3 linked regions of the Rattus norvegicus genome follow. The protein of the gene in region 2 interacts with the protein of the main gene of each other region in a pairwise test. Links are inferred from orthologs where the notes say so. Each region holds a gene or a part of one and is shown on either strand. Other genes may lie near its edges.

What was found. The genes of interacting proteins can lie anywhere in the genome.
Region 1: the proteins of Pnma1 (region 2) and Suv39h2 interact in binary tests that used the Homo sapiens proteins (3 or more experiments, as listed by UniProt). The two-hybrid records come from large-scale screens. The link is inferred for Rattus norvegicus from reciprocal best matches to the Homo sapiens genes PNMA1 and SUV39H2.
Region 3: the proteins of Pnma1 (region 2) and Spg7 interact in binary tests that used the Homo sapiens proteins (3 or more experiments, as listed by UniProt). The two-hybrid records come from large-scale screens. The link is inferred for Rattus norvegicus from reciprocal best matches to the Homo sapiens genes PNMA1 and SPG7.

Annotation. Positions count from the first base shown.
Region 1 is NC_086035.1:79,678,853-79,682,502, forward strand, and holds part of Suv39h2 (histone-lysine N-methyltransferase SUV39H2), read left to right. Parts: intron 1-1,723; coding exon 1,724-1,853; intron 1,854-2,866; coding exon 2,867-2,973; 3' UTR 2,974-3,650. UniProt on the Homo sapiens protein: Histone methyltransferase that specifically trimethylates 'Lys-9' of histone H3 using monomethylated H3 'Lys-9' as substrate.
Region 2 is NC_086024.1:109,512,871-109,516,471, reverse strand, and holds Pnma1 (paraneoplastic antigen Ma1 homolog), read left to right. Parts: upstream 1-1,304; 5' UTR 1,305-1,798; coding exon 1,799-2,860; 3' UTR 2,861-3,090; downstream 3,091-3,601.
Region 3 is NC_086037.1:68,039,005-68,042,654, reverse strand, and holds part of Spg7 (paraplegin), read right to left. Parts: intron 2,376-3,650; coding exon 2,250-2,375; intron 1,844-2,249; coding exon 1,681-1,843; intron 1,212-1,680; coding exon 1,038-1,211; intron 1-1,037. UniProt on the Homo sapiens protein: Catalytic component of the m-AAA protease, a protease that plays a key role in proteostasis of inner mitochondrial membrane proteins, and which is essential for axonal and neuron development.

The DNA.
Region 1 (3,650 bases), on a different chromosome or scaffold from region 2:
TCCTGTAAGCCACAAGGCAAACGAACGTACAGTAAGATATTTTCATAGTTTATTCAGTTTTGTTAGTTGTTAATCTCTTACTGTGTCTGAAGTAAAGTTAAATTACTATAAGTATATATGCATAGAGCAAAACCCTAGAATATATGGGGTTTGGTACTCTGGGCAGTTTCAGGCATCTACTGAGGATCTTGGACAATCCTCCCATAGATACAGCTTAAAGGTAACAGGGTTTTTTGTTCGTTTGATTTTGTTTTTAATGTCATTATGTTAACATTTTAAAGTAAAATTGAAGATTTCTAGATCATTCAAGCATTTATGGTTATTTCCGTTTGAAAAACTTAGATCTGCAGTCTTTTTAAAGATCGTGTGTGTGTGTAGAGTGTGTGTAATTAGAGTAATTGTCAAAATGAAATTGGCACAGTGGAACTCCAATTTCATACCGCATAGTTTCATCATTTAAGTACAGTAAGGCCAGGAGGTTGTTAGCATCATCATTTTATACCGCATGACAGATGATGGAATATAGCTTAGAGGGTAGGTCCCAGAGCCGATTGGAGTAGATGGAGCCAAGTTAAACTGTCTGGTAGATCGCTTCCAAGCTGTGTGTGAATCACAGTGAAATGGAGAGACCGTTAGGACTCCCTCTTTGGTTCTTTTAAATAATTTCTTCTTAATGACAAATTTGAGATTTAGCCATTCTTTTGTATTCCAGGGGATTAGTTCCAGGGCCTCCTGCAGAGATCAACATTCTTACAAGTTCCTTATGTTAAATTTGAGACATAATAGCCCACATATCCTCTTTACAGTTTAAATCATCTGTAGATTACTTCTAATGCCTGATAGAAAGTTATACTGCATTGTTTACGAATAAGGACACGAATACTCAGTCTGTACATGGTCAGGACTCTGGGGTGATTTTCTTTTCAATGAATACTTGATAGTTAGTTGACTCTGTAATTGGTTGAGTCCAGATGTGGGACCCTTGAAATGTAGAAGGCCAGCTCTGCTGCTCGGCAGACACCACCCTAGCTGACACGACTCCTTAGAGCTTCTGGAATGTTCGTAGTTTAGTGTTGCTGAACAACTCCCAGTAAGAGTTCAAGTACTGAAGTCATACAGTCTCAAACCTGAGTTCCGGGCTGCTGGTTTTACTCTAAAATGATTACTCTAGCCAGGTGGTGGAGGTGGTGGTGGTGGTGGTGGTGGTGGTGGTGGTGGTGGTGGCGGCCATGGTGGCCGTGGCCTGCCCTTAATCCCAGCACTTGAGAGGCAGAGGCAGGTGTCTCTCTGAGTTTGAGACCAGCCTGGTCTCAACAGAATGAGTTCCAGGGTAGCACAAGGGGTACACAGAGAAACCATCTCCAAAACCAAAAATTACTCTAATTATTTAAAGTATGTATGTGTACACACACACACACACACACCTTATTAAAATAGTTAAAAGCGAAATGCCCGTGTTATAAATGGAAATTGGATTAAGATTCTCCAGGGGAAAAAAAAAGCTGAGACAAAATCTCATTAATTGTGGAAGCAACATATTGGATATCTGACTTCTTGTATGGATGATTAACATCTTCTTATATATGAACACTGTATTTTGAGTGTGTGTGCAGTTTGTAGGACAACTTAAAATGGTCATGTGGGCAGTTAGCAATTGTATAGGGAACATAGAAGGTACCTCTCTGGCGGTTTTACTTGAACAGGTTTTATTTTTCTTTTTTAGTGTGACCCAAATCTTCAGGTGTTTAGTGTTTTCATCGATAACCTTGATACTCGGCTTCCCAGGATAGCATTGTTCTCCACAAGAACCATAAAGGCTGGAGAAGAGCTGACTTTTGACTATCAAATGAAAGGTATGGTTTTTAAGAATAATCGTACTGGTGTGGGCTTTAGTACGACAATGCAGGCAAGTCTTTGGATAACAGACCAAACTAACACTGAAGAAGAAGGAAATCACTGGGAGGGGATCAGTGTGGAGATGATGAACCACACTATTCCGTACTCAGTTAAAGATCTTTTTAAAACTGAAAGAACTTGTGGAAGGAAGCTTGGGTCATCTTGCTTAAGGCCCAGAGCCCATCCCACAGACTAAAGCTAGCACTTGGTCTTTCTTCCAAGTCCTAGCAGCCTGACTTTTCTCAAGACTTCTAGTTTGGAAGCTTGACCTATCATAACACTAACAAAAGTATAGACAGTTTCTGAACTTTTACTAAAAGATATGACAGGATTAGAAGTATGATTTCAGTCACATATGAATTCTATGCCTTCTTGAATCTGGCTTTTTACAGTGCTTAATTCTGTTGGCTGTATTGTGACTGTGAATATCTTCTATGAACAGTGTGCGTTTCCTGCCGTTACTATGTCTCCTTGCTGTGCTCTGGGTGATGTGTAAGAGTGCTTGTGCATTGGACTTTGTCAGTAGATGGCATCATGGCAGCCATTCTTACTAGTTCACACCATCTTTCAAGATGGCTAGACTGAAGTGTCTCAGGATAGTCACAGAAGTGCAGGACTATTCATTTCCTTGGGAATAAGCATTCACTACGCAGCCCTGGCTGTCCTGGGACTCACTGTGTAGACCAGGCTGGCCTCACATTGGGAGATCCACCTGCCTCTGCCTCCCAAGTGCTGCGATTAAAGGTGTGTGCTATCATGCCCAACTAAAGTATCTCTTTAAGGTAAAGATGTATGTGTGTCCATGTGAATGTGGGTACCATGGAGACCAGAAGCTGGGGTTTCAGGCAGTTGTGAGGTGCCTGACAGGAATGCTGGGTATGAATTTTGGCCCTCTAAAAGACCAAGGCTCCTCTTCCTGCTGAGCCATCTTCCAGCCCTGTTCTCAGATGTTGCTCTCCTGTGTTTTCAGGTTCTGGAGAACTGTCTTCAGACTCTATTGACTACAGCCCTGCCAGAAAAAGGGTCAGAACCCAATGCAAATGTGGAGCTGAGACGTGCAGAGGTTACCTCAACTGAAATTTCAGGAAGTGGAGCTCACGTTGTTTGTTTTTTTGTTTTGTTTGTCTTCTAACAACTGAAAAAAGTATTTGGGACTCCTTTCTATTACCTATGTATTGTATTATATGATGTTAATGTACAATTCATGGCTCAAGATATATGCCAAGTATATTACTATTGATTCTAAAAAGGACTGCAAGGCCATGTAAACAAGATGGTGGTTACATGGGAAGTGAACTGTATAAATCACTTGCTTACTCGAGAGTCGAAGTAGACAGTCGTCCCTTTAGTTTTGGAAGTGAGTCGACCACAGCTATTATTGAGCCTTTTATCCTGCCTCAAACAGAGAACTCACTTTAGGCAAATGTATAAATTTTATTTTTTTACTATATTGTTTCTGTTTAATACTCACTGATCTTGTATCAGAGACAAATAAGTGACACTGAATTTTTTTACTGTATTTTCTACTTTTACATTAAAACATTGGCATCTTAATGATATATTTCAGGTGTAAAAAATGTGAAAGATTTACTTTTAGCTTGATCTTACTTTGAGGCAATAGATACCATTACAAAGGTATCTAAACCTGAAATTCTTAAAAGATGTTTTTACTCCCACAGAAGAAAAGTCTCTGATCACCTTCTCGGAATTCTGTAGTGCTGGCCACTGTGTTTCTGTGAACAGACAGACAGACA
Region 2 (3,601 bases):
GGTTGTTATTTATTACTAGACTGGCAAAGCCTAAACCCTTAGGTTTTTACAGGAAGTATGCATATTTTTATAAAAAAAACAGTTGTGTCTAACCCACATTTGGCTGTGTTTGTTTCCTCAAAAAAAAAATTTGCAGCTGTTAGAGCTCTTCTTCATTTGTCTCTTAAATTAAAGGCCTTGTTGGAGAGGACAGCACAGAAACAGCCTTGACTGTAATTATTGTACAGATATTTTAATAGCATAAAGTAAGTATATTCCTTTTATTTTGAAACAAAATGGTCAGACACTGCCTTTCATGTGTTTGTTGCCTGTGGCACTCTTTTTAAAAAAGACTGTTACATATTAAATAGTGTACATATATATAAATATTACCTCTTTGTGTACAGTTGTGATAGACCAGACCGAAAATTTTATTTTTTGTGTGCTTTTTATAAAAAAAATTAATACACTAAAGAGAATCTTGCGGATGTGATTGTAATGTACCCATGTAACTTATTTACTTTTGAATGTTCTGTATCTTAAGACCTTTTATTAAATAAGGTTTTAAAAAAGTCATTGTTGAATGCCATGTTCTTATAGGGGTGTTTTTGCCAGCTGGGACTGACTGATAGGGAACTTCTCCCTTTCTGAGCCTTAAGCGGTCTGTTTTGCTATCCTGTATACTCAGTAAGGACAAGAAGTTTGCTTGGCTACAAAGAGAAGTAATCCGGTGGGGGGGAGGGTGTGCACACACACACAAACTTTAGGTTTTGACACACACACACACACACACACACACACACACACACACACACACAAATTTTGGACAAGAAAGCCAAGTCAGACACTCAAAGGAACCAGTAGGTGGAATCCTCTTTTCTAGTCTTATGGGGAGGAACGGAGAAGCTGCAGACTGTAATCTGGTGGTTCACGGAAGTCAGATTTAGTGTTTTCACAGCAGAGTGAATGCATAGAATGGATATGAGACAAGTCCGTCGTGGTAGATGCGTATCAATAAGGCCAACTTAAATCCACAGCAAAATTAAATAAAACAAAACATGCTTAGCAATATTGTTAAGGAGGAATCTGGGAAGTACGAGTATGGGGGAGGGGTAAAAAGAAATGCACCATCATAGAATAGACTACTCAAACCCCTTCTTGGCACCATAGCAACCGCCAGATCCTCTGGAGCCCGCGCATCTCGCGTCGTCATGGACACAGTTGTCACGGTGACACTGGGGGAGGCGAGCGGACCGGTTCCGCCCTCCAGTGCAGCTGCACGGAGGCCGTTGCTGGAGCGCGCGGCCATAAGCGCTGAGCAGAGCTGCCTCCAGCCCGGTTCCTCCCTCCTTCGCGCTTCCTGCCGCCTCAGTCCCCGGTGCTTCGAGTGCCGCCTCTCTCGGTGTAGCTGAGCCACGGCCTCGAGTAACCCTCGGCCGCCCGCGGGCCAGGGAGAGGTGGGAGGAGCTGCCACGCCCCGCGACCGCACCCAGTCATCTCCAGCCCGCAGCCAACCGCCTTGAGCCCACCTTCCTCCCCTTCTCAAAGCAGTGACGCAAGGCACAGCCGCAGCCAGTCCACTCCTGCCCGGACCAAAAGGGCGACATTCGAGTGATAGGCGGAGTGTCCCGTGGCACTGACTTGGGACCCGGAAGGGACCAGAAGGAACTCTGGTGTCTTTTGGTAATTGTGGTTGCTTGAAGCTTGTCGCCCCCTGGCCTACCGGGGGAGGAGAGCATGTTGTCCTAAGCCCAACAGCAGCACCGTGAGCCAGTCCAAGCACAGTCTGTAGAACTGGCACTCTTAATAGTTGGGCGAAATGGCTATGACACTATTGGAAGACTGGTGCAGGGGAATGGATGTGAACTCTCAGAGAGCTCTGTTGGTCTGGGGGATCCCTGTGAACTGTGATGAGACCGAAATCGAAGAGACCCTCCAAGCTGCGATGCCCCAGGTATCCTATCGAGTACTGGGGAGAATGTTCTGGAGGGAAGAAAATGCGAAAGCAGCCTTGTTAGAGCTCACTGGGACGGTGGATTACTCCCTGATCCCCAGGGAGATGCCAGGCAAAGGAGGGCTCTGGAAAGTAGTGTTTAAGCCCCCCACTTCCGACGCGGAGTTTTTGGAAAGGCTGCACCTCTTTCTAGCTAGGGAAGGGTGGACGGTGCAAGATGTTGCTCGTGTGCTTGGGTTTCAGAACCCTGCTCCAGCCCCAGGCCCGGAAATGCCAGCAGAGATGCTCAACTATATTTTGGATAATGTTATTCAACCTCTTGTTGAGTCCATATGGTATAAGAAGCTGACTTTGTTCTCCGGGAGGGACATTCCCGGGCCTGGCGAGGAGACCTTTGATTCCTGGCTGGAGCACTCGAATGAAGTCATAGAGGAATGGCAGGTGTCTGATATAGAAAAGAGACGGCGGTTGATGGAGAGTTTGCGAGGCCCGGCTGCCGATGTCATTCGCATCCTCAAGACCAACAACCCTGCTATAACCACGGCAGAATGCCTGAAGGCTCTTGAGCAGGTGTTTGGGAGCGTGGAGAGCTCTAGAGATGCACAGGTCAGATTTCTGAACACTTACCAAAACCCAGGAGAAAAGTTATCTTCTTACGTTATCCGTCTGGAGCCTCTGCTGCAAAAGGTAGTGGACAAGGGGGCCATTGATAAAGATAACGTGAACCAGGCTCGCCTGGAACAGGTCATCGCTGGGGCCAACCACAGCGGGGCCCTCCGAAGGCAGTTGTGGCTGACTGGGGCTACAGAAGGGCCTGCACCCAACCTCTTCCAGTTACTGGTGCAGATTCGAGAGGAGGAAGCCAAAGAGGAGGAGGAGGAGGCCGAGGCTGCCCTTTTGCAGCTAGGCCTAGAGGGGCACTTCTGAATCCCAGGACTGGCCAGGCTGCTTTTGATATTCCTGTGAAGTTTTAGTAAGCCTGTCCCTTAAAGTAAACAGCCAGCCTCCTCCTGCCTTTGTTTTGTTTTCTGAGGAATGGGATGAGAAAGTCAGGCCCGCATATTCCTGTAGCATTCACAGAATTGTGTAATTAGCAGGAGTAAAGGCGGTTCATAGTGCTACAGTGATGCCAGCCCTCCTGGTGACATCTCTGACAGCTGTGAGAAACATGAAGCTGCGATCCTTCCTGTCACGATGTTTGTGAAACTGCAAGTTCTGATGCTAAGTACATGCCCGGTTCACAGGCTGTACACTACAAACTCTTGTATTTATTTGTTACTAACACTGTGGACAGCTTTACTGTAAATTGTTGCTAATTTGTATCCATGGAAAGAATGCGACTTTTAGATATTACTCATCTTGAAAATGCAGATTTCTAATTCCTCGTGGCTCAACACTGGAATCAGTTTCCCTGAAAAGTATCCCCAGATTAGAAGTGGCGGGTTAGAAAGATGTGTTTTTATAGAGTGCACAATAAATCCTTCACAGTGGAAGATACAGATGTAAGTCATAGGGGGAATGGCCCTGGACAAGCTACACTTCCTCACTTCAAATATTTGTCATTATTGGTCATATTGATGCTAAGGGTTCTAAGTTTGAAGTTATTGAATAGATGGATACAAAAAAAATTTGAAAATTCTCTTTTTTCCTGACATGCATACAATTTTT
Region 3 (3,650 bases), on a different chromosome or scaffold from region 2:
AACTATATTAATGCAATTTTCAAAAAATCTTTTAAAGATTTAAAAAAATCTAGAAATAGCTCAAAATAAAGTCCACATCTCCCCCACTGGGCTTCTCCATTACAAAGAAAAGCAACAGGAATGAGTCAGTCCGAAGTCTCCTTCACAGTGTCCCACACCTGCACCTCCTAGAACACAAGAATCCCCCACTGTGCCCCACGCTCCCCTCCAAAGGCAGAGACACACAGCAGAGAAATCGGGGGACCACAGCCAGGAGGCCTCGCTGCCAGCCGCCCCTCACAGCCCCAGCTTCCCTGACCACGCCTGACCAGTGAACTTCACTGCAGGTGAAGACCATGCTGAACACGTGTAAAGCCTTGCATTTACTTCCCAGCATAAAAAGGGGAAAGGAAAACTGAATTTCCTTAAGTTGACTTATTTTACATGTATGAATGTTTTGCCTGCAGTTATGTTATATGCACCATCTGTGTGCCTGGTACCCACTAGTTGGAAGGGCATTGGATGCCACGGAGTTATGGAGGTTGTGAGCCATCATGTGGATGCTGGAAACCAAAGCCAGGTCCTCTGTAAGAGCAGCAAGTACTCCTAACCACTGAGCCCTCTGTCCAGCTCCCAAGGCTGATGCGTTTTGTTTTATTTTGTTTTGTTTCTGATGTTTGTTTATAGCCCTGGCTGTCCTACTCTGTAGACCAGTCTGGCCTTGGACTCGGAGCTCTGCCTGCCTCTGCTTCCCCAGCACTGGGAATAGAGGTGTGAGGCACCATCAGGCTAAGCAGTCTTTCTTAAAGGTAGAAAACTGATGGGTAACCAACCCTTCAACTGACTGCTATTAGACGCCAACATCTAGAACATTCTCTGTGTAATGTCCTCATTAGGACAGGAGTGGACAGCAATACACAACAGTGACTGAAGAAAAATACCCTAGGTGCTAGAACAGAAAAGGTGACGAGATTCGTCTGCCCTAAAGCTATGACTCGGACCAGGTTCAGAGTCTCCTGCTGGTGTACAGCATATGGCGAAGCGTGCTGGGCACTGACCGTCCATCTCTACGAGGAGCTGGTTGAGGGTCTGCTCCTCTTCTGTGTTGGAGAACCCGGACATGGAGGTGGAGCGCTTCTTCCCCACAGCATCGATCTCATCAATGTACACAATGCAAGGGGCCCTGGCCCGGGCTTCCTTGAAGAGGCTGCGCACTCGGGCGGCTCCCAGGCCTGAGGAAACAGAGTCAAAAGACAGGTAAAGGAAAGCAACTCCTACTTTTGGGTCAGAGTCCTCCAAAGTGGCCTATGTCTAAGTGGCTGGTTCTGCAGATGGACCAGAAGCAGTCAGCATCTTGCCATCCTGGCCTCCCAAGCCGCAGGGGAAAGTGGAAGTTTCCAAGTTGATGTGGACCAAAGCTTACTGTGGTTTAAGGTAGGTTTCTCTGCGTAGCCCTGGCTGTCCCGGGACTCACTGTGTAGACCAGGCTGACCTTGAACTTAGAGATCGGCTTGCTTCTGTCTCCCAAGTGCTGGGTTAAAGGTGTGCACCACCACCTCCTTGGACCAAAGCTTATCTACTTTCACTTGGGCTGTCTGTCCTTCTCTGTAGCACTCAGCTTCTCATGTCAGGGAGGTTATGTGGAAAGCCAACCCAGGCACCGAGCCAATGAACCTGCCCACACTTTCAGCCCACACCTACCTCCAATGACCTCCACAAACTCTGGGCCAGCCATTGCTAAAAAGGGCACCTGAGCCTCCGTGGCCACTGCCTTGGCCAACAGCGTCTTCCCACAACCAGGGGGTCCCAGCAGCAGGGCACCCTTTGGAACCTTGGCACCCAGCTGAAGGAAACGCTCCGGGCTCTAGGCAGGAACAGACATAGGACTAAGTAGTCGGCATTTAACAGAGACTTTAAGTGACTCACACAGAGGAGCCTGTGACAGTCATGAACGTAGATCACAGCTGCAGTGCGTCCACAAAACAGTAAAGAGCTTCGTGCGGCCCTGGCTCCAAAAGAAAGGACGGCCCAGTTGAAGTGGGCCAGTCCACTCCTCTCTTCTGAAGGACGACTTAGGCTGGCACTGTTAGTTTACCAGCAGACACACACGGTGCCCGAGGTGAGAGAGTCACCCACTCATTCCATCTCACCCAGAGAACTCCCATCTCAAAGCCAAGTGTCTGCTCACCACAGCCCTCCTTGAAGACACGTCACCACCCCTCACGTCACCACCCCTCGCACCTCGCACTGGCTGAGCACACAAGCCTCACCTTCAGATAATCCACAAACTCTCGGACTTCCAGCTTGGCTTCGTGCATTCCCGCCACATCCTGGAAGCTGACTCCTTTCCCCGTCTTCCCGTCCACGATGGTGAAGCGCGCCATTTTAAGCTGATTCTGTGCAGAGAGTCAGGGATGAAGCTCTGCTCCCTGGAGAAACGGAACCAGCCACGGCTGCTGCCTGCCTGACCCGACACAAACTGCTACATCCATCCTAGGTGGGCCTGCTCCTCTTACAGCCGAAAAGCCTGCTCCCGCGGTTACGATGCAGACCACAGACCACCTCAGGCACACACGGGAACTCTGGTTTGTATTGTTTATATTAAGAGCAAAGTCAGGTAGCAATTTATCTTTTAGAAAATTAGAGCTGGGGAGAGGGTTCAGTGGTTAAGGGCACTTGGAATTCTTACAGAAGGCTAGGTCAATTACTAGCACCGACACAGTTTTACAAGTTTGTCTTCCAGATGAGTTCTAGGAGAGTGGACACTCTCTTCTGGCCTCTGTGGGCACTGCACACATGGGGTGCCCATACATGCAGGCAAACGCTCATGCACATAAGCTAAACTTTAAAAAGATAAATGAATAAAAATTAAACTCTCTTTGGGCATGGTAGTTCATGCCTTTAATCCTAGCACTTAGGGTAGAAGCAAGGAGACTTCTGTAAGTTCCATATCAGCCTGGTCCACACAGAGTTACAGGCCAACCAGGGCTGCATAATGAGATCCTGTCTTAAAAAAGAAAAAAGGAAAGGATAAAAGAAAAATACAAAAGTAAGAAAGAAGGAAACAAACATAAAGCTCTCCTCGGTAAGGAGTACAGCCCAGTGGTGGAGCACGCACTGAGCATAAACAAGACTCCAGGGCTAATACCAACACCACCCAAGAAGAAAACACATTCTTTAGCTAAGACAGAAACATGCTCACACTCTGTGAAAACCAAGCGTCACTCTCAGGGTAGAAAAGGAGCTTCCAATACCGCCAGCCCAAGCCTGAGGGATGGAGAAGCCATGGGTGAAAAGTACACTTTCTAAGGTGCAGCGGGAGAAGGGAAGAGAAGGGAGGAGAGAGGAGGAGAAGGTAAAAGGGAAGAGAAGGGAAGAAAAGGGAAGAGAAGGGAGGAGAGGGGAGGAGAAGGGATAAGGGAAGAGAAGGGAAGAGAAGGGAAGAGAAGGGAGGAGAAGGGAGGAGAAGGGATAAGGGAAGAGAAGGGAAGAGAAGGAGGAAGGAGTTTCTCTATGAAATGGCCATTCTTTAAGCTACTTTTAATGTTTCTTTTGTTGGCTAATAAGAGAAACTAGGGAAAGAGGGGGAAAAAGGCCCACTCCCAGCTGATCAGGGACATAGAGAACACAGTGTCCTATGCTGAGTGGGCTCAGTGGTCCCCATGCCAGAA